Linked DNA regions of Rhinolophus ferrumequinum. The protein of the gene in region 2 interacts with the protein of the main gene of each other region in a pairwise test. Links are inferred from orthologs where the notes say so. Each region holds a gene or a part of one and is shown on either strand. Other genes may lie near its edges.

Region 1 (11,201 bases), on a different chromosome or scaffold from region 2:
ATTCATTTGCAGGAAATGAAAGGCTGTACCTATGTCTCTGTATTGTGTTTTAAATAGAAGTAGTTTGGGAAAATGCCATGTTTTACACCATTTTAAACTACAATTAAAAAAAAATTTTATTGGGGAATATTGGGGAACAGTGTGTTTCTCCAGGGCCCATCAGCTCCAAGTCATCCTTCAGTCTAGTGGAGGGCACAGCTCACTGGCCCATGTGGGAATTGAACTGGCAACCTTGGTGTCAATGAGCACAGGGCTCCAACCACCTGAGCCAACTGGCTGCCCACAAAAACCAATTCTAAAAGCATAAAATTGCAGTTGAAAGCAGTTATCTCATTTACTTTCTGAAAAAGAGCAAAATGAAAGTATTTGGAAAAATAAAACTGCTCTTAAAGTTGAAAAAGGAAGCTAGAGGGAAGCATATATAGCATTGGTATATAAAGTGAACTGTGTTATGATTTATTAGAATATGGGCATATGTTGGGATTTTGTAATTTACTGGCTTAATGATTTTAGTTTGTCGAGGACAGAATGTCCTGTTTTGGTATTGGAGATATTATTTAGGATTGGGGTTTCCAGAGATCCTGTTCTTTTTTGTGGGTTTGGGCATAGGTTTGAATAGCACATGGAGCACAAAAAAGTCCCATTAAGACAGAATTGGACACTTGCTGGGTATTACTCATTCCAGGCACTGGGAACTTGACTTTAATTGCCAAGAAGTATCCATGCGGTCAAGGACTAAATGATTATTATTTAAGTTGTGTGTTACTCATTATTACGTGTTACGTGTGGAGGTGAAAGTTCAGCCCTTACCCTTGTCCCCATAATGCTAGGGGAGGGAACCCAAGAGTAACGTGAAATATGGATGAATGAATTATCAAACATGCTATGGATTACACCGTTGTCATGGTCAGTTCTTCACTTCCTCCTTGCTGAGAAACTAGTGCTAATTCTGACCAGGTTTGATTCTGGAGATTCCCTTCTGGGTATTCCATGACATCACTTTCCCGCAAAGGCTGAGACATCACTTATTTTCACCTCTGTCCTTTTCTCTGTTCAAGGCTATAGCGGGCATTTCTCCACAGGAGCTCACATCTTGTATGATCCTGAGAACGGCTGGGGGTGCGGGGTGGATGAGAGAGGCTGTGATTCTTGTCCCCTGTTGGGTCTGTGGTCTCTAGAGCTCTGGGGACTCCTAAAAGTTAACTAGCCTACAACTGGTTTACTGAATGAGCTACACTGGTTAGCAAGCATCTGTGTGATTTCGCATCATTTCCCCTTCAAGCCTGCTTTCCTTTTTTGTTCTTCCTTACACCTGGATGGAACCTCAGGCAGGTATTACAGCTTTTCTGATCACATTGTTATTCCCCCAAAATCCAGTCAAAATAATCACAAAAGTGCAGACTTTCATTGAATTAGCATTTCTCCCCTTGCCCAGCCTCAGTCTTGGAAGTATGAGATGGTGGAGGGAGGGTCTGATTTTTTGTCACATTTTTCTCCCTGCTCTCCTCCTTACTTCTACCCTCCCCCACACCAAACTGTACCTCGCTCCAGGTGGCAGAAAGGAGTTCTTTGCTTGGAAGAGTTGAAATCTGGTTTTCATGATGTCAAGGTGGAACATGTTCTAAATGCCAGTTCATTTTTTTAGGTGTGTTTTGGGGGTTGTTAGGAGACCTGCATTGTGTGGATCTCTCACTGGCCATTCTCTTGGCACAGACAATGCCTCCTCTGGCTGTCTGCTTATGGGCTTACCTCAGCCCCTGCTTTCCTGTGGTCTCACTGCACACTCCTCCAGGTGGTCCTTATCGATACAGCCCCTCTTAATCAATTACGAATAGCTTCCTGCCAGGGGGACCCCAAGTCTGGTCCATTGACAAACATCTTTTTCCCCACCAAACTCTGAAAGAGCAGATTTTTGCCTTTGAATTTTGCCTTTCTTCCCCATCCTGCTGCCCCAAGGCAGTAGCGAGCGAAAGTGTCTTGCCTTAGATTTCACAGCCCCTCCTTTTAAATAGACTATTTTTTAGAACAGCTTTAGGTTCACAGCAAAATTGAGCAGAAAGTACCAAGAGTTCTCATATACTCCCTGACCGAGCCCTCAGCCTCCTCTAGTACCAGCATCCTCACCAGAGGGGTGCATTTGTTAAAACTGATGAAACTACATTGACACATCACATCCGCCAAAGTCCATAGCTTACGTTAGGGTTCACTATTGGTGTTACACATTCTATGGGTTTGGACACATGTAAAATGACATGTATCCATCATTGGTATCATACAGAATAGTTTCACTGCCCTAACATTCCTCCGTGCTCTACCTTTTCATCCCTCCCTCCCCTATAACATCTGGCAACCAAGCATCTTTTTAGTGTGTCCATAGTTTTGCCTTTTCCAGAATATCGTATAATTGGAGCCATACATTATGTAACCTTTTCAGGATGGTTTCTTTCACTTAGTAATATGCATTTAAGTTCCTCCGTGTCTCTTCATGGCTTGATGGCTCATTTTTTTTTTTAGCGCTGAACAATATTCTATTGCCTGATGTACCACAGTTTATTTATCCATTCACCTACTGAAGCCCTTAGACTTTTCATTCACGTGTCAAGTACCAGACTTGATATCTCTAACTCCAGGGACATATACCAAACTTTCTGAATCGTTCCATTAAGGCCACCCGAACTTAATATGGTGAAGAAGTGTGGTAGGCAGAGTAATGACTGTGAAGATATCACATCCTCATCCCCGGAACCTGGAAGTATATTAAGTTCTATAGCAAAGTGTAAAGAAGGTTGCTAACTAGCTGATTTTAAGATAGGGAAATGATCCTGGATTATCTGGTGGGGCCCAATGTAAGAGTCCTGAAAGTGGAAGCCGGAGGCAGAAGACTAAGTGTCAGTGATGGGGTGTGGTTAAGAACTCCAACGGCTGATGTTGGCTGTGAGCCAAGAAGTGGTGGGATTTAAAAGGGGGAACAATTTCTTAAAAGAAGGGGATTTTTGGTATCAGAAATGGGGATGGGAAGGATGATGGGGAAAATAAATAGGAGCTATCCCATTTGATACTTATATAAATATACACAGTTATAGTTAGATACAGCTATGGATATAGATGTAGAGATATATGTACCCAGAGATAGGAAGAATGAACTGGTATATAGCTTTTTTTTGTTACAGTAGGTAATTTTTTCTTTTTGCTTATCTGGATTTTTTTCTCTGCGAATATCATTATTTACATAATAAAGAAATAAAAGATTTAAAAAGAACTACGCATACCTTTTCCAAGAGCCCTTTGTTACTTTTCTGACACGCATTTGCCTTTCTCACTAAGACCACAGGCAAGCTCTCTTTGACTTGCATAGTTCAGAGCCGCTCCCTTTACCTGAAATTCAGCGACCCTTCCATGCAGCCAGATTGCCCACCATATCCATACCATAATACTTAACTGATGGCACCAGACGTAAGGGCTTATTCTGACCCATTGTCACTGTTCCAGAGGAACCTGCTTACCCATGATGTTCTAAAAAAGAGGAACTCATTCTTAGGTTCAAGGGAGACCTGGGGAGGCTCCCTGCGGTCTCTGTGCTCCTTTTCAGTCTTGGGAGATTCTTCCCTTCTCCCTAGAATTAAAAAAAATAAGCATTTTTTTTCCAATAAGAGGAATGCTGTTTCCGCAGGCAGGGTCTATCGGACTTTCTCCTTGTGCCTGGGGCAGAGCAGGCATTCTCGGGGAAGGGAAATGAGTTGTCCCACCCACCACTCCTTTGTGGGTGTCTCTGCCTTATCCTCTATCCCCAAAGCACACATCCATAGGGTGGGAAGAAATCTTTCGATTATCTGGGGTCTGCTGGTCAAATCTCCCGTCACATTGTATTCTCTCCGAGGCCTGTGGCCAGCCTGACCAGCTCTAATAGCTCCTTTCTCACTTCATAGTCATTCTTCCTGTCTCCCAGTTCCCTCTCCCTGATTTTTCTGTCCATTCTAGTTTCTTAACAAGTAGGTCTCTTTTCCACTCTCATTGATTATATCCACGGCCCACCTTTAAGCATAAGGTGGGTCCCAGCCAGAGAAGGGAGAAAGTTGGCCAAACTGTTTCCTTCCTCTGCCCTTATCCAGAGAAGGTCTTAGAACCTCAGGAGTGTGACTAGTGGGGAAACAGAAAAATGATCACGGACTTTCCTTTTCTCATTACAGCACTGGTTTTTGGTCAGTCCTGATCTTGTCCACAGTTCCTCCTCTGTTTAGAAGAACTGCCATCTCCTGCGTGTCCAGGAGAACTGCTCACTTTTCTGGCTGGCAAGTGTGCCTGAAGCACTCGTCTCCTGCTCTGTCCTTTCTCCTCCAAGACTGTTAGGTCAGGGGCCTGATAGAGCCCCCAGAGGGATGCACGGGAGGGTTGCTCGTGCTCAGTAAACAGCTGCAGATGGGCCTGGCCATAGGAAGACAGCATGTGACTCACTCCTTCCTTATGAATGGGAAATGAAACTCCTTATAGCTGGGACTTTTATACCCACTGTTTTTGAAATGCCACAGGGCCACAGCCCAGGTTTCTGGTTGCTTCATGTTTAGCTTCCTCATGCTGGATCAGCCTTTTGCCCAGAAATCAGCAAAATATCTATCTGAGGCCTCTATTTCTATCACTTGGATAAATGCTCCCCAACCCCACTCCCTCTTCCACAGTGGGCGTCAGCATGGTGAGACTTCTGGATTCTTTTCTGGGACCAATGAGAGGGCATGCGGGTTTTCCATCAATGACTCATGCTACCAATCAGCAGAGGTTTGGGAAAAGTCAACATTCTGACAGAGAGGAAAGGGGCCAGATACCCCCAAGTTGTGTTACGTGGCAGCTTCTCTCTCTCAAATGCCTCAGGAAGAGACCCAGACCCCAACGGGGTCTTGAGTAACTTGGATTCTTTTCCACTCACAGGCCCTAGACTATGATAAGTTGTGAACAGAGGGCCAGGAGCCAGGTACAGAAGGGCTGAGATGACTAGGGTTAGACTGGGTATCAAGCACGAGAGTCCAGGAGCAGAACGTTCTAACCAGGGGAACCAAGGCTCTGCAACTAGATGAGCAACCTGAAGAAAACAGGTACATATAGTGATAAACGTTCACATAGGTGGTGAGTCAGAGTGAGGTCTTCAGTTTGCATGATTAACTAATGTCAAAGGTTAGAACAGACAGCCGTTCTGGAAGCTATAGACAGAATGTGGGTAGGGAGGAGATGAGATAGGATGAATGGGATACCATCTTTGTTACCTAGCTTCTTTCCCAGCACTTGGGAAGTGTGATGTGGAGTCCTCCCTGGGTTCTGTCACCCAGTCTGAGAAGCAGCTCCATTCTGAGGCCTCGTCAGCCAGAAACAGAACAGCAAGAGACCTGTAGGAACTGTGGGTTGGCCAGACAAGGCTGGGCTAAGCAGGGAGGTAGGATTCTCCTAAATGCCCCCTGAAAGTCTAGGTAGCTGCTTCCTTGGCCCTGCTCATTTAGTTTCTAACCCAAGTCCCTGACACTGCTCTGCCATCCAGCTCTACTGGCTTAGTCTCAGTAAGGCTAAGCTAACTTTCCAGTCCCATGGCCAAAGTGTTTTTTGCATTTTGGGTAAGGTGTCAATCACACTTCCCTTATACTTTTGCTATGAAAATGAATGAGAATTTTTGGAGACAGTGGGAAGAAGCAGTAGCTTCTGGATGATAGATTCCAGTCCACAGATTGTAGGTTTCAAAACTGAGAAATGATCAGCTAGCAATTCTTCCCTTCATTTATCTTTCATGTACCTATCCATTGATCAACTGATCGATTGATCGATCCATCCAGCCATCCATCTACTCATCGATCATCCATCCATCATCTATCCAGTCATCAGTCTTCCATCCATCCATCCATCCATCCATCCATCCATCCATCCATCCAATTCTCTGGACTAAATTCCTTTCCTTTTCTTTTTTGGCCCCGCCTCCCCCTTTCTTCTCTTCTCTCTTTTCTACCTTCCAAGAAATAGTTGTTTAGAATCTGTTACATACGAGGCTTCTCAGATTTGGCAGACTTCTTCAAAGCGTGAGAAGTGGCCCAGGAGGAAACTTAGTGAGCCCTAAATCACTGAGCCCTAATCATCTCCTCTTTGCTCTGAGGAACTCCCACATATGAAAGAACAGTTCCTGGTCTGATGTTGCTGAGCCTCCCCACTTTAAGAAGCTCACAAGCACAGGAAACAGGGAGACGAACCCAAGTCTTACACTTCAATTTCGCATCTCCAAGTCCCACTTCATAAAGGGGATACTGTATCATCTAAGATGCCCTAATAACAGAAAGTAGAATATTCGGCAATAAGTGGTTTCCTTACTGGTTTCCCTGCTTCCAGGTTTTCCACACCCTGATCTATGTTTCTCACCATGATCAGAACGATCTTTCTACAACGTCCCTGTCCTTATCTCTCCTGCCTGGAATCCTTTATTGCCTCCATGTCACCGATAAGCCAGAGTTCTAGCTTCTTAACATGATTCCAAAGGATCTTCATGCTCTGACCCCAGGTGCCTCTTTAGCTCCGTGAACTCGGCTCCTGTCCCACGCTTTACACTCCAACACCACCAAACTGCTTCCAATTGCCAGACACTCATGCTGTCTTTTAAATATGCTAATCCCTCTACCTGGAACTTTTTACCCTTTCTCCGTTCTCTTTACTTCTTTTGAACTGTGCGTATTCTTTTATTGTTATAATCATCACCCTGTATTGTAATTGATTTGCTTGGCTCTGTCTTTCCTTCTGGACTGTGAGCGGCTTGAGTGCAAAGACTGTGAGTATTTATCTTTGTGGCCCAGTCCTAGCGCCATATCTGGCACCTAGAAGGCACTCTGTATGCATTTGTGGGATAAAGGGATGGGTGGAGGGATGCTGGATGAGGGGAATAAAAGAAGTAGGATAGCCTTGGGACAAGATGGTTGAAGTGTCCATGTAACAGACTCCTCCAGAGAAGAAGACAAATGGCCTCTTCCTGAAAGCTCCGACCTTGGAAGAGAGGACTGAGCGGTGGCACGACACAGGCCAGAGAAGGTGTCTAAGGCAGGAATGGGGAACTTTGGGATACATGACGACCTCTTGTGGGACTCACTTCCCTTTTCCTGTAGATAAAGTTCCCTGGGCAGCCAACCAGAAGCATCTGTGCTGCAAGGGTGAAGGTGTAGGATGAAGACTGCAGAGAGCGAGGTCCCTGACGCACACTTCACTGTGGACAAACAGAATATCTCCCTCTGGCCTCGAGGTAAGCCCCAGTCCCTGCTTAGAACCCGCTCAGGGCTCCACGCACAAACCCATCACCCATCCCTTGCTGGTCCTTCAACAAATGTTCTCTCCTTCTGACAGAGCCTCCTCCCAAGACGGGTTCATCTCTGGTTCTGAGGAAAATGTGCACAGTCCGTGCTGCTGTAATTCTCCTGACGCTGGTCCTGCTCGCCTCTGTCCTGCTGCAAGCCGTCTTCTGTAAGTCCTCTGTGTGAATCAGCTGGGCTTGGTGCTTCTCCAGGGTCAGTCAGCTCCCTCCAATCCAGACCCTCACTCTCCTGCTCTCCAGTGGTGTCTCCCACCTATGGCGTTTTCATTGGTCTCATTTCTCTTCTTTCCACGTGCAGTCACAGGGTCCCTGTCCTCAGGAAGATGAGCTGCTGCTCTTTCCTTCCCAATTCTGGGGAGATTTTCCTAAATGGGATCAGCACTTGAATGCTTGTGCTCAAAGATATACTCCTCTGCCCCAAGGAAATGCTCACCTATTTCTTCATCCTGTGTCATTTTTGCCTCCCTCTCTGAGCTCTGCACCCCATTGATCCAGAACCTTGAGGGCAGCCCCCAACAGTGAATGAGGTATTTCCTGATCCCATGAGGGATGGAGTCCCGACTGTATCCTCAGTCCCAACCGACTAGATGGAGAGCCTGACCAAGCCAATACATCTCCATGGCTCCTCCCCTCAGCAGGACCCCTTCATGCTCTTTACATTCTCCTATTCCCGCGAGGCTCATGTCAAGGGAGACTTCCTACTTCTTCATTGGATGTGTGACTTATCTTTCTTCTTCTTCTTCCAGCTTTGTCAAGGCTTATAGCATCTGCTGCTGGCAGAGCCTTCATCTCTCACCAGGTCTACAGAAAACAGGGAGGGAACGTCTGTCTTCTGCCTTCATGGCCTCGGGACATATTTGGTCTCAGACTTTGAGCCTCTCAGCAGAGTCTCCTCTGCTTGGAGTCGTCTTGGTTTACGTTTGGTCTCCTCTCTGTCACTAAGCCTGTGGCCCAAGCAGAACGTGACAGTGGGAGGGATAAGGAAAAAGGTGAAATGGTTTCATAATTCTCCCTTTGCGTGTTCTCTGGATTAGAAGAGAACAGATTAGAAGTCTGCATGGCTGGCTCCTCTCATGGTCACAGAGAGCCTGTGGACAGATGTGGGAAGGGTGGTGCTGCCCACGCTGATGGCCACTGCAGGAGAGGGCTGAGAATCAAGTGATGGGGCCCGGGAGGATGTAGGGAGAGTGACAAGGGGGTGGTCGAGGGCATCCCTTTATCAAATGTGCCCTGAACACTCAAAGAAAGTTTTGGACTGGGTTTTAATCCCTGCTTCTGCTCGCCTGTGAAGTTCTCTGACAGAGGGCCTGTGTTTATCGATCTTTGCGTTCCCCACTCTACCAGGGTTCCTGGCACATGGGAGGCGTCCTTGCATGTTTGGTGAATGAAGAGATTATAAATGAATGGAGGGTAGGCAACGGCAGCTTGGGTTGCGTCCTTGGGAAGCTGGAGCTTGTCTCTTCCCTTCCCTCTTCTTCCTTGAATCACCCTGGTAACACCCCCACTCCCGTCCCGAGGGATCCCCTTGCCTGACTTCTGGATTTTTTCAAATCCAGATCCCTGGTTTATGAGCGCGCTGTCAGACGGAAAGACCAACGCGCAGTTGCTGAAAGCTCGTGTGGCCAACATCAGCTCCCTGAGTTCTGAAATTAAGAGGAACAGAGGCGGCGTGGAAGCAGCTGGCGTTCAGGTCCAGATGGTGAATGCTAGCCTGGGTCGCGTGCATTCTTATATCCGGAGGTTGGAAACTAGTGTGAAAGAAGCCAATGCACGGATCCAGATATTAACAAAAAGTTGGGAGGATGTCGATAATTTAAACACCCGAATCCCAGAGTTAAAGAGAGATTTGGATAAAGCCAGTGTTTTAAATGAGAAGGTCCGGGGACTCCAGAGCAGTTTGGAGAATATCAGAAAGTCGCTCAAACAGCAAAGTAAGTGACTCAGAAAAGAACATGGAAAACTGATCAGTGGCCCACGGGGCCTTGCCAGTCTCAGGCACGAGGCCTTTGGGTTGGTGTTTGTGGAGGCAAGCAGACGTGACTGCAAAGGCAAGCACAGAGGGCGCAGCATTGGGGTTAGGGAGGACTCAGGGGCTTTTCAGAAGAGAGGGAACCAGGGATAAGCTTGGGCTCCCACACAAAGACACAGACTATGAAGGCATTAGGAGTCGTCCTGGCCCAAACTGAGCCATTTTTCATTAAGTTTCTTACCTAAAGCCCAGGGGCTCAGCCACTTGTGATGGCCAGGGGAGAATTGCTTCTCTCTCATGACAGACAGATTCTTTTTTTTTTTTTAAACTTTTTATTTATTTTAAGGTGTGTTTTCCCAGGACCCACCAACTCCAAGTCAAGCAGTTGTTTCAATCTAGTTGTGGAGGGCGCAGCTCACACTGGCCCATGCGGGGATCGAACCAGCAACCCTGGTGTTCTGAGCACTGTGCTCTGACCAACTGAGCTAATTGGCCGCCACGAGAGACAGATTCTTGATCCATCCTCTCTCACTCTCCCCTCTCTGAGACCAGAGACTCTACTAATCTCAGTCCGACTTTCAGGATCTGAGACAGTGTCCCCAAGTCCACACTAGAACCCAAGGACCCCAGAGCCCAGCCCCGTTCACTGCTGTCTGTGGGATCCCACTCCAGTGCCCCCACTTAGCCAGAACCCAGAGAAAAGAGGAACACCAGTGTTCACATTTCACCCTTGTTCTCCAGATGACATTATACAGATGGTTTCTCAAGGCTGGAAGTACTTCAGGGGGAACTTTTATTACTTTTCTCGTGTCTCAAAGACCTGGTACAGTGCCGAGCAGTTCTGTACATACAGGGATTCACACCTGACCTCAGTGACCTCAGAGAGTGAACAGGTGAGTGTTGTTCCTATAGGCTCTAGAAAGGGGGTATATTAGTAGCTGTATCAGGCAGGATCGGAAAGATTATGTTGTGGTGACAAAAATCCCCAAATATTAGTGACCTAACAGTGAAGGGTTATATCTCACTTACACTACATGTGCAATAAGGGCCAACAAGGGGTTTTACTCATTGTGCTTACTCAAGGATTTAGGCCAAAGGAGACTTCATCTCAATGAATATTCCCATAATTGCTGAGGCAAGAAAAGGAAACATGAAAAATTGTATGTTGGCTCTGCCTAGAAATAACAAACATCACTTTTGCTCACATTTCATTTGCAAAGCAACTGACCCAATACTCCTAGCTTCAAAGAGGGCAGGGAGGTACAATCTTTCTGTGTGCCCAGAAAACAGAAATATTTGTAAACAGCGTTAACCATATTACACAACCCAAGAAGTCTCCTTCTTGTGAGGCAGAATATTGGACAAGCCTTTCATCTGGGAGGTGCTCTAGCAGCGCAGTTGAGTATGGGCTCTGGTGTTAGAGTCTAGAGTCCCAATCCTGCCTCTAAGTAGTCCTAGATGGAACACATATGACAATAGTTCAGACTTCAGAGGAAAAAACCATTTAAATGCATTTAAATGTATAGTGAGTTGCAAATATTAAGTACTTACTAAATTTAGCTATTATTATCTGGGCCATTCTCTTGGGGTTCTTGCTCTGGGGTTTAGCTGAATCTTTCTTGTGCTCCAGCACCTTCTTCCTGAGCGACAGAAAGGCCTGAGCCCTGAGTCTGTTTTTTACAGAGCAGAGACAAATCAGAAATTGGAAGATGGGATTCTGGGCAGGGACGGGAAGAGGCTTTAGAGGTCAGTGTGCCCAGTGTGTTTGTGGGCTGTCACTGAGGACAGGTGAAGACCCAGACAGACAGGTGCTACAACGGCAAGTGATGGCAGCGCCTCTGTTCATTCTGTCTCCCCTCCAGGAGTTTCTGTACAAAACAGCTGGTGGACTTATCCACTGGATTGGCCTGA
Region 2 (11,047 bases):
ATGACCAGGCAGGCCAGGGGTGCAGAACGAGACAGGAGGGCAGCCCTAGCTCTGCCATTTACTATTCATGTGAGCTTGGGCAGGTCATCTAACCCTTCTGGACGAAAATGATAGATCCAGAGCATGAAGTATCTTTATCAGGCGCTTCGTAGGGTCCCTATTGATTTTAAAATTTCATTATCTACCATCTAGTTTTAGACTAACCTCAAAAATACCTTGGCCAGTTATGTTTGCCCCCAAGCAAATCTTCCTCAAACCTGTTTTGTGGAATTCTCCAAACATGTCTTTTCCAGTTCTATGTCCACTGCTATGGCCCTTAGAGCTCCAGCTTCGGGGCGGGGGGGGGGGAAGGTGGGGGAGAGAACCGAGAAGATATGTCTGTTTGTTCCTTACTGTGAATGGTAAGGCCCCTTGAAAATAATAAAAATCCGTTTAGTAAACGTAAGCTATATTTCCAGGAGTACTGAACTATTTTGACAGTCCTTAAGAGTAAAACACAATTTTGATAATGCTAAAATATGCATTGTGATTACCTCTGGGGGCTGAGAATTATAGATGATGTTGTAATTTTCTTCTTTGTATTTTGTTTTACAACCAAAAAAGTATATTTTTTAAAACCTTAGGGCACAATATGAGGCATGTAGTTAATGCCACTAAACTGTGCCTTTAAAACAATTAAGATGATGAATTTTGTTATGTATATTTTACCATAATTAAAACATACAAAGAAAAAATCCCTATGGATACATTAAAATCATATGGTATTCATATTATTACCAATTTGCATAAAATCAAACAAAGGCAGATGATACAATAACTACTATGCAATATGTCAGATTATAATGCTATTTAAATTAAAGAACACAGTTATTTAAATCTGGTAACTCCGGGGCCAAATTCATGTTTTACCAAACACTGAAGTTGGGTGTTTAAATGTTGATAGTGGTGTGAGGGAATCAGGTCGTAGGTCATACTGGCTCAAAAGAGCTAGTTACTAGCGTCTCTTCCCAAAGCTATGTTCAGTGGCGTCACATTGGTAGCTGAAAATCAGCCATGGTGGGAATATCTACACTCTGGAAACTGGCAAATGTTACAAATCAGAACTCCCCCGCTGCCCCCAGAAAACCAGTTTAAGAGCACACCACTGTTTAAATAATACATATATCTATCAATGGACAGAAATTTACACTAACAGAATGTTTAAAATCAACTCCCTCAACTCATTTTATAAATTGAAGCAAATGTCATTGAGCACAGTGAAAAGTGAATAGCAGGACTAGAATAAGAACTTCAAATTTCTTTCCATTATATCACAAAAAAAGATTGCCTTAAGTCTGATATTGCCTTCTTCACTGAAACTGCAAGATCAACTTCTGAATCTTTCCGGAGGCAGGACGTCTTCTCAAGTCACCAGCTGCTCCAATTAGTACTAGTTTTCTGTCAAGGACAACACAGTGGTCTCTCTGTGTCCTGCCAGAGAAAGACTCACAACTTTAGGGGAAGAATTCGCCTCCTCTCTAATCTTTGTCATAGAAATCACAGAATTAAAGGAGCTTGCGGCAAGAGGAAAGGACTTTAGATATGATCTAGTCCATTAGTTAGACTGGAATATTCCAGGCTGCTTGGCGGGGCCATTAACACCAATGTCAACATTCCATCCACCCAAATTGTTACACTTGGGTCCCTTTCAGATTAGGTCTCCCACAAGCCACATGCAAATGGCACATTCAGAAAGGAAACTATCTTTCAATTATAAGATTCCATTCCACTTTAGTGAAAATATACCCGACTCACATCATAAGTTTCTTCCTCGTCATCAATGGTATTTTCTGAAGCTTAATATGTGTAGGTTTTATGATTGAACTTTACGTTATCATCAAGTCCTCACAATGGCCTTTGGAGGTAGACACTATTATCATTAGCATTTTTTCAGAGGCTTGGGAAGATTAGGTACCTTTCCAATGTAACACAAGCAAGGAAATTAGGAAACGACCCTCCATCTCCAGGCAGCCTGACCCCATGCCCACACTCTACACCACGACACCACACAGCCCCCTCCAAGAATGTAGATACATTCCCATTACACCCAGACCCTGGTTTTCCACATATGGCTCTCCTATGATGAGGTCTGAATCTCCAGGTAACTTCAGCAGACTGCACGCTTCTTTGCTGAAATGGCAGGTAGTAGGCATTTAGAGGATACAAGCTAATTTTTGGTAATACTAGCCTGAACACAGCAGAATCTAGCAGACAAATCTTAGAGCATAAATATTTATAATGTTACCTAACTGTAGAGGAAATCTAGTCTATTTATAAATGGAAGGTTATATTCCATGCCTCGGAAAAGCTTGGTTTTGAAGCGCTATTTATTTGGTGTTTTCAGTTTGGTTTTGTGCCTCAACATCAAATCCCCACACTTCCAGGAAAAGGAGGAGACTCTCCCAGCATGAATTCCCCACCTCTTATCGAAGCTAGCTGGCATCAGTAGGCATATGAGGTCCTTATTTGTGGACTTCAGAATGATTAGATATAATAACCAAAGATTATCATCATTGCACGTGTCTTGCAACTATCTGTGGACCTTGTTTCACTGAAGAAGAAAAACATCATACAGTAAAACTTCAATGAGCGGTCTTTAAGGAAAGAAAATTAAAGCTTGAGAAAACTGTCAACATCCCCCAGGTGTCAGGGGTTTGAAAGTCAAATGCAGGGAATGAGAACAAGCGAAACAAAGCAGGCAGACTGAGGCAAATGACAGAGTTCAGCCACGTCCCGTGGAGACATTACTCAGTACTAGCGAACTATTGCCATACTCTTGCCAGATCTGATTTCTAGGCAAGGTCAGATGATCATGTTTTATATAAAATGTTTAAGAAATTTCTACTTATAAAATATGGCAAAGGCCAAACAGGACATGTCAGCAGGCCAAATCCAGCCTCGTATCTCTTCAGTTGGTAGAAGAGGAAAAATGTCTAGAGGTGCCAACTGAACTTACCAAGTGAGGGAACCCAGACTTGTTATTCTTTTTTCTATGTCAGACTCTACAATCTCTATTTATAAAGATATAATATTGTGACCTATTGGAGAGCATTTGAAAAATGAGATATTTCCATCATGGATGGTCTTATTTAAAATTGCCTGCTAGTTGTCAGTTTTTGTCTTGTTTGGTTTTGTCTTTTCATCTCCGTTTCTGTGGAAGGATATAAAAGGTCTCTGCTACCTTTAGTTTAGTTGTATTTTAGTTGTCATCATAGAGTATTCATTTTTTTGACAGTGGGTATGCTCCTCTTATATTTACATAAATATATGTCCGACTCCAGTTGTTCACCTTTGATCGCCTGGTCTTTGTTTCCATTTTTACCCATGAAAATGAAAGTTGTGGCAAAGGCCAGAAATGCCTTGAGCAGAGGCCATGTCTAAACAGTGGAGGGGGTCAAACAGTGGCAGCTCTGCGCTTGCTGATGTAGACTGCTGCACCGCAGTCAACGGCCATTATCTTAAAAATAGATAAAATTCACATTTGCTTCCAGTGGTCATGTGCCATCAGAACCTTATTCCTCTTTGAACATAAAGTCCAAACATAACTACTAGCATATCTTGAAAGATCTAGTATAGGCAGATCCTATCAAGAAGTGAAATTCAGGTGGCCAGCCAAAGCTGAATCCAGCGCTCAGACAGCTTGAGGTTGTGCCTCCCACCGGCCTCTGTAGTTTAAAACTTGAATACCCCTAGGGAGGGCATGAGCACTGCACTTTTCTACCACTCTCTGCTGCTTTCTCTCCCCATCTTGTGGTTTTATTTATCTTTCTAACTCTTGGAAGGCATTTGTGTTTGTGACCTCTGCTCTAGATTTTCATCAATCTCATCTTTAACATAATTTTTTTATGATCGGAATTAACACAACATCTTACATAAGAGTTGAGTCAATACTCTTTCAACTATTTCTGAGCTGCTTCCCATAGATGGTAGTGGCTGCCTAAATGAAATAACCATATCACCAGATCACTGCCGTAATGAGCCAACTCATCTCCTTCTGCTTCCAAAGTATCGTCCGCATGGCCATCAAACTCATCTTTCATCATTTTATTCCCATTACCTACAAGGTAAAGCTTGAACTTCCCACTGGCATTCAGGGTGCTTCATAACTCAGCCTCCATCTAAATGATCAAAGCTCTCCCCCGACCTCCCAACACAAGCTCTCCACTCAATGCACACACCTGACCATGCCTATTTATTTGCTCCTGAGCCCCACTCCCTTCCCTTTCTGCCCTCCCAGAGCTCCACTCAAACTCCACCTTTTCCATGAGACTTTTCTAAATCAACCCAGTCTCAAATAATCTTGCCTCCTTTTAAATGTAAATGTTCAATAAACATTTGTTGAATAAATGAATGAATGAATGATGAATTCTAGCATGACCACAGTCTTATGACCACTTAATTATGGACAACTTGCTTAATCTTTTTAGACAGAGCTTCATCATCTGTAAAAATGTGGTTTTTGACAAGAACTAAATGAGATGTTATTATGAAATTATCTAGCAGAGATACTACATACACTCAAAAGACATTAGTTATACAGAGACTCAAGAAATACTGCATTTCTCCCTCTTTTGTTGTCAGTTAACTTTACAATTGTGCATACTGTCTCTTTCTAACTGCAGTATTGGACGAACGACCCATTTCTTAAATTTTTCTTTGTATCACTCACCGTAGCTAGCATGGAACCTTGCTAACAAAATATTGTTGACTGAATACTAAGAAAGTTTCTCTATTGAAGAATATGTCCAGCGACTGGCTGCTGACATTGGAATTTCCTCCTTTACAGACATTTGGTTCTAAGTTAAGCATTGCCCCCAGTTAAAATCCAAACCTTCCTGTGAGATAGTAACATATTATGTTTCATTAATTAGGAATAACTGTACTGATTAGACATTTTTGTTTACAAGGAGCAGGAACTGCCTTGCAAGTTGTTACATTTATATGAGGTACAGTGATGAGTTTGTTTAATCCAACACTTTATTATAACTTATTTAATGTCATTCCAACATAACTGCAACATAGAAATTAGGGGGAGAAGAGAAGTACAGATATTGCACTATCAAGGAAGGAGAAGGAAGGAAGCGAGGAGTGGTGCACCATCGGAATTGTAGCAAGAGAGCACTGGGAACCAGGGTGACCACCTGTCACGGTTTGCCCAGTACTGAGGGGTTCCTAGGATGCAGAGTATTCAGTGCTAAAACCAGGAAAATCCCGGACAAACTGGGGAAAGTTGGTCACCCTGTCAGGCACCAGTAAAATCCCACCGAAAGACATACTTTGTCTAATTTCAAAAGGGTGCTTCGAGTACACTGCACACCAGAGCAGCACAAACCTGTCTCGAGCTGGTTATCAGCTGACTAGAGCAAAGGGCTAAACAGGCCAAGGCTAAAGGTTTGATTTCCTAGGAAACTTTGCTCTCTTCCACAATCAGAATCTGTGTACTTCACTTCAGCCAGCCGTTCTCCAATGTCACTGACTAAACAAAAGGGGAACAAGGAGAGAGAGAGCACAGCTCCTGTGGGCCAAATGTTTCACTGCTGCGAGTAACATTAGAGGGACCCTGTTTTCCTTGCGCATGAAAATGAAGCGGTCGAAGAACAACACACACAGAAATTCCCTTTCTGAACTTCCTGCTGACATGGGTTCTAAATAATAACAATAATGTATAGCATATTTGCAAATTTCCACAGCATAGTCTGGTATATGATTTCATCCTAATTCTAATCCTGTGAGAAGGCATGGCAGATACCAAACTCAGCAGGGTTGGGATCACCCATGGTTACCCAACCAGCAAGCAAGGGCTGGAGCCCTCGCCTCCTGGTGTTTTTCATTTGTTTGCCTTAGTTGTGGTTGTTGTTTTGACACAGGTCACAGCCTCCTGTAATGCAGCAAAATACACAACATTCAGGTTCCCTTGACGTTGTACAGATTACTTCCATAAGAACTCCAAAACTCTTGGTCCCAACAACTAAGCATCACAGCCTTAAAGCTCCTCTGCGTCTTGCCAAACGTGACATACAGGTGGGCTGGTTATTTCCTGTATGTACAAAGGCATAAAGCACATGCACAGTTTTCACCCTGGTGGTCAGGCCCAGGGGATGAGAAAACGTATCTCTGCTTTTAATATTTAGGGACTGCCAGACTCTGCACCTCATTGTTTTAAGTCTTTACTTTTTCATAGACTTTTCTGCCCACATCCGCAGGGTTGTATTAGTAAACTGAAAGCTGAGTTTCCCTAACACATTTATTTTTCTTTTAGAGTAAATGTGGGAAGGATGAAAACTGCCCTGTGTCATACTTACATGTTACTCATTAACTAACAGCAAAAAAAAAAAAAAAAAGAAAAAAAAAATAGCCTCAGCTACTTTAGCAGTCATGTGAAGAAAGAGCTAGAGCTTCCTGCAATGCGAGAACTGAGCAAAGCCAGAACGCAGATTTTCACATTGGGGAAATTCAGAAATGAGCCTTTGAGCTTAGTTCTTGAGTTGGCGATCGACAAGTGCACAATGGTGAAGAAAAGGCTGCCTTCCAGTGACACGGTGTTCCGGTTTGAGACTCCAGGCAGCCCCCGGAAGGCCCACACGGAGGCCCAGCACAGCTCCACCGACAGCCCCGGCTCAGTCTTTCTCAGGTGGGTACATCCCGTCTGTCTCCCTCATGGCTTCTGCTACCTGACAGGTAGCCCTTAAAGAGCTCCTTCCTCACTCCCTGAGGTAGCAATGTGCCAAGAGGAAAGAGAAGGTACAGCCTAGGCATCCGGGCCAGTGGTTTTGAAGACAGTACATTGCAAGGGATGTGATCTGCTGAGCAAACAGAACTTTAACACCATTAAGGGAAAATAATTGTTAGTGCTTTCTTTAGGGTTTTTCAGTACTGAGTAAGTGGCCAGCCATACAGTTGCTCAATTCCTAACTCACTCTCAGGTGGATAGGAAGCGAAGCCGTAACTGAACCAAAAACAGTCCTTTGGCGTCAACATTACCTGTATTATTATTAAAGTAGTAATTATTAAAATATTAAAACGATAGCACTCTTTTTGGCTTTCTAAATTAAATATTTAAATAATCCTAGTTCAATGATTTACTGTACAGTGATTTACAGCAGCACTGCCCAGATTGAGAACGTATCCTTTTTAGCTGTAAATATTCCTATCTACATCAATACTGCTTGGATAAGTACATATTTTAATGAAAATTCATTTACCAACTCTTTTGATTTCGTCTCATAATAATTACCTGGCAACTTACAAAAGGTAGAAACAAAGTGCAAGTGGAAATCAATTACAAGAAAAAGTTTCTCATCGACTTTGATGTGAACTGTAATGTACGTTTCATGGAAACGTCTCAAGGGAAGATAGAGGAATGGCCTCTACACCTGAAGTTTACTTTTATAGCACCATCGCCAGGAAGTTAATCATTTGTTTTACTTTTTAATCATTTTAAACCCTTTACACAAAAAAGAGTGCTCAAAATTAGAGCTTTTACAAATTAAATAGAAAGCAAAGAAATCCCATTTCATGTCATAGCAGGCACACATCAGAATGTCAGGTTATGAGTACAAATTAAATAAGTTTTTAACGTTTTAGAGACCGTTGCTTAATACATTGAAAGATAGTTTTGGTTTTTCCATCCTTCATTAAAATGAATTTCCTTAACTTGCACTATGACTGTTTGAGCAAGAATACAATTTCTGTGATCGAAAAATGTAAAACTCTTGCATTATTTCCATATTTTGCTGAACTTTGAGTATTTCTTGAATTACTTTGTCTGCGTTGAACATCTCTTTTGTAGAGTATAATGTAAACTTCTCTTGGAGTTCAAGCTCTAATAAGAAAAAATTAAATTAAATTAAAATGCATTAATTAATTAATTAATTGCACAAAGTACAATTTAAATAACATAATACATATTATTTAAGCAAGTATAAATAAATAGAATAAAAATAAAATAAAAACCTAAATCAACCTAAATTCAAGCCTCTTTCAAAAAGATCCCAGGCCTGTTTCACCAGCATATTTAAATATTTAACATCAAATCTCTATATTAATATCTGTTTCTTTTTTTAAAATTTGTTTTACAACCAACCTACAAACACTTCATATCACCAAACGGTTTGGACATTGGAGGACTTTTAGTCTAGTTGAAAGATCAGTTTAATCTATTGCACATAAAATCATTGAAAATAGTTTGTAGAAGCATTTAGGTATGTGTTGGTTAATTATTTGAGGTCAAAAATAAGACCAGGTAAACACTTCCCTTTACCTTCTAAATAAATATTAAGAATTATGTGGCTGTTGTGGTATCCCATTATCCTTTCCATGAACTACAGCTAGTAAAATGTACTCTCAGATCAACAAACTACTTCAAGTAGGCACAGATACAATTTATGCAGTGCTTTTATTCAATTATTCAATTCAACAAAGATTTATCGACAAACTATTACATGCCAGGCTATGTGGAAGGCACAGGGGATCCAGTCATGAACAAGTTAGACCTAGTCCCTGCCCACCTGAAGGCTATCAGTTTAATGTAAAAGACAGGCAAAAGGAATTATGAATCCATGCAGACATGCATACATAATTCAGATATTAATGTATGTTATTATAGGAAATAGGGCTGAGAAGGAGAATGAGATGGGGGAACTAATTTAGATGGGGTGGCAAATGAAAGACTCTCTAAGGAAGTGATATTTAGGCCAATTTAGAGGATGAAAAAAGAGCCAATCATGGAATGATTGGAAGGAGTATGTTGCCCTAAGATGGGGAAGATCTTGTGTCTTAAGAAACTTGGGGAGAGCGGCACCCAATGAAACCGGAAAGATAAGCCAAGGTTGAAGGCGTTTAGAATTCTATTCTAATTGCAATGTGAAGCCACCGGGGGATTTAGAATAAGGGAGTATCATGATATGATGTTCATTTTAGACGGGTATTCCGGCTGCCCTCTGGGTTATTTCTAGTTTTTATTTATTCGAGCAATGCTATGTCTTGCCCATGTCTCTAAGGTACGTACCTAAGAGAGGAAATGCTAGGTCATAGATTACGGACATGACGTACTTTACTCACTATGTCAAATTAGGTTCCAAAGTGCTGTGCCATTTATGCTACTGACGGCAGTAGTCCCACTGCCTCAGCAACAAGGGCTTTCTCTAACTTTTTAACTTTTCTAGTCTGGAAGGTGTGAAAGGGCATCTCGATGTGGTTTCAATATGCATTTCCCTTATTAATACAGGAGGAGCATCTTTCCAACATGTTTATTGGTCATTTTCGTTTCCTCTTCTGCAAAATACTTGCTGATGGACTTATGACCTTTTGGGACAAGAGAGGGGGGACAGGGATTACTATCTTTTCCTTATTTTTAGGTAGTTTTTAAAATACTCCAGATACTGATCTTTTGTCAGTTATATGTGCTGCAAATATTTATCCCTGCATATGACTGTTCACATTCTCTCTCATGTCCAAGTTCTTATTTTTACTTTGTCAATGTATTAATTATTTTATTAATGACTTGTATTTTCTGGGACTTGTTTAAGAAATCCTTTCCTATTCTGAGGTCATAAGAATGTACTTGCGTATTTTTTTCTAACAGTATGTTTTCCTTTCAAAGTAGGATCCTATAAAGGATTTGGAATTTATTTTTGTTTCTGGTGTGAAATAGGGCATCATTTTAATTTTTATATGGATAATAAATTGTCTCACATTATTTTTTGAATAGTCTTCCCTTTCCCCATTAATCCGCAATGCTAGCTCTGTCATATATCACTATCTTCATGACTATTGCTTCATAATAAAAATTTTGTTATCAGATATGACAAGACTCCATCCCTAGTTCAGAAATGATTGGCTACTCTTGCCCCTTTGCTCTTCCATTTAAATTTTAGAATCAGCTGATGGAATAAAGATTTTTTGTGATTGAAATTGCACTGAATCTATTGCTCAATTTGAGGAAATTTGACATTTTATGGTGTTAAACATACCTATTCATGCACATGGCATGAATTTTTTTTAGGTCTTCTTTAATATGACTTTGATAAAGTTTTAGAATATTATACATAAATCATTCTTTAGATTTATTCGTAGGTACTTCACACTTTTGTTGCTATTAGAAATATATTTTTAATTGCATTTTCTTTTGTTGACGTTATACAGAAATGTAATTAAAATTCTAAATTTACCTTACATTCAAAATTCTTGCTAAATCTTCTCATAAATTTTAATAATCAATCTGTAGACTCTACAAGGTTTTCTTTGTAGGCAATAATATTATTTGAAATAATAAAAATTTTGGGTTTACCTTTCTGATCTTTACTCCTTTTAAATCTTTTTATGTCATGACACAAGCAAGCAACTCCATTATAATGTGGCGTATAAGTAGGCACTCTTGTTTTGTTCCCGATTTTTAAGGAAATCCTTTTAACATTTCAGATTTTATCAGCTTTTCTCAGGTTAAAAGAGTTCCCTTTTCACTGAGGATTTAAAAGAGGTTGTTGGAACTATTGAGTACTTTTCTAGCCTCCTCTGAGATGATCCAAATTTGAAAATCTCTGATATTCATATTAGCACAGCACCTCAACATTCAAAATTCACAAGAAATCATCATTTCCCAAAAAATACAGAAAAACATTGGGTAGTCTTGGAAAACATGAATTTCTGTACGCTTTATATGCAGACTGGAAAATGCTATGGTGACTTAATAGTTCCATAAATTAGTCATTCAGCAATCAAAAATCAGGAATTTCTATTGAATTACCTAATTAGCTTTGGGAGAATTATTACACAAATTAGCCATTAGATCTATTGTTTTTAATAAATTTGTTTTCCAAAAAAAAAAAATATTTTTCGTAGAGTAGAAGTCTATTTCGATTTTAGGCACAGGTGAAAGTCGCCCAATGACGCTAATGTAACGAATGGAGAGCTATGGGCTTTGGGGACACATGGAAGATCCAAGAGAGCGACCAAAGAAGTCAAAGATAAAGCAGCCGTGAGCTAGAATACGGGGCCCGGCTGGGACCAG

Evidence for each region.
Region 1: the proteins of GRAMD2B (region 2) and CD207 interact in binary tests that used the Homo sapiens proteins (3 or more experiments, as listed by UniProt). The two-hybrid records come from large-scale screens. The link is inferred for Rhinolophus ferrumequinum from reciprocal best matches to the Homo sapiens genes GRAMD2B and CD207.

What each region holds. Positions count from the first base shown.
Region 1 is NC_046296.1:20,320,488-20,331,688, forward strand, and holds the start of CD207 (C-type lectin domain family 4 member K), read left to right. Parts: upstream 1-7,159; 5' UTR 7,160-7,176; coding exon 7,177-7,252; intron 7,253-7,353; coding exon 7,354-7,470; intron 7,471-8,877; coding exon 8,878-9,252; intron 9,253-10,031; coding exon 10,032-10,183; intron 10,184-11,152; coding exon 11,153-11,201. UniProt on the Homo sapiens protein: Calcium-dependent lectin displaying mannose-binding specificity. Induces the formation of Birbeck granules (BGs); is a potent regulator of membrane superimposition and zippering.
Region 2 is NC_046290.1:87,165,921-87,176,967, forward strand, and holds the start of GRAMD2B (GRAM domain-containing protein 2B), read left to right. Parts: upstream 1-6,401; 5' UTR 6,402-6,443; coding exon 6,444-6,670; intron 6,671-11,047.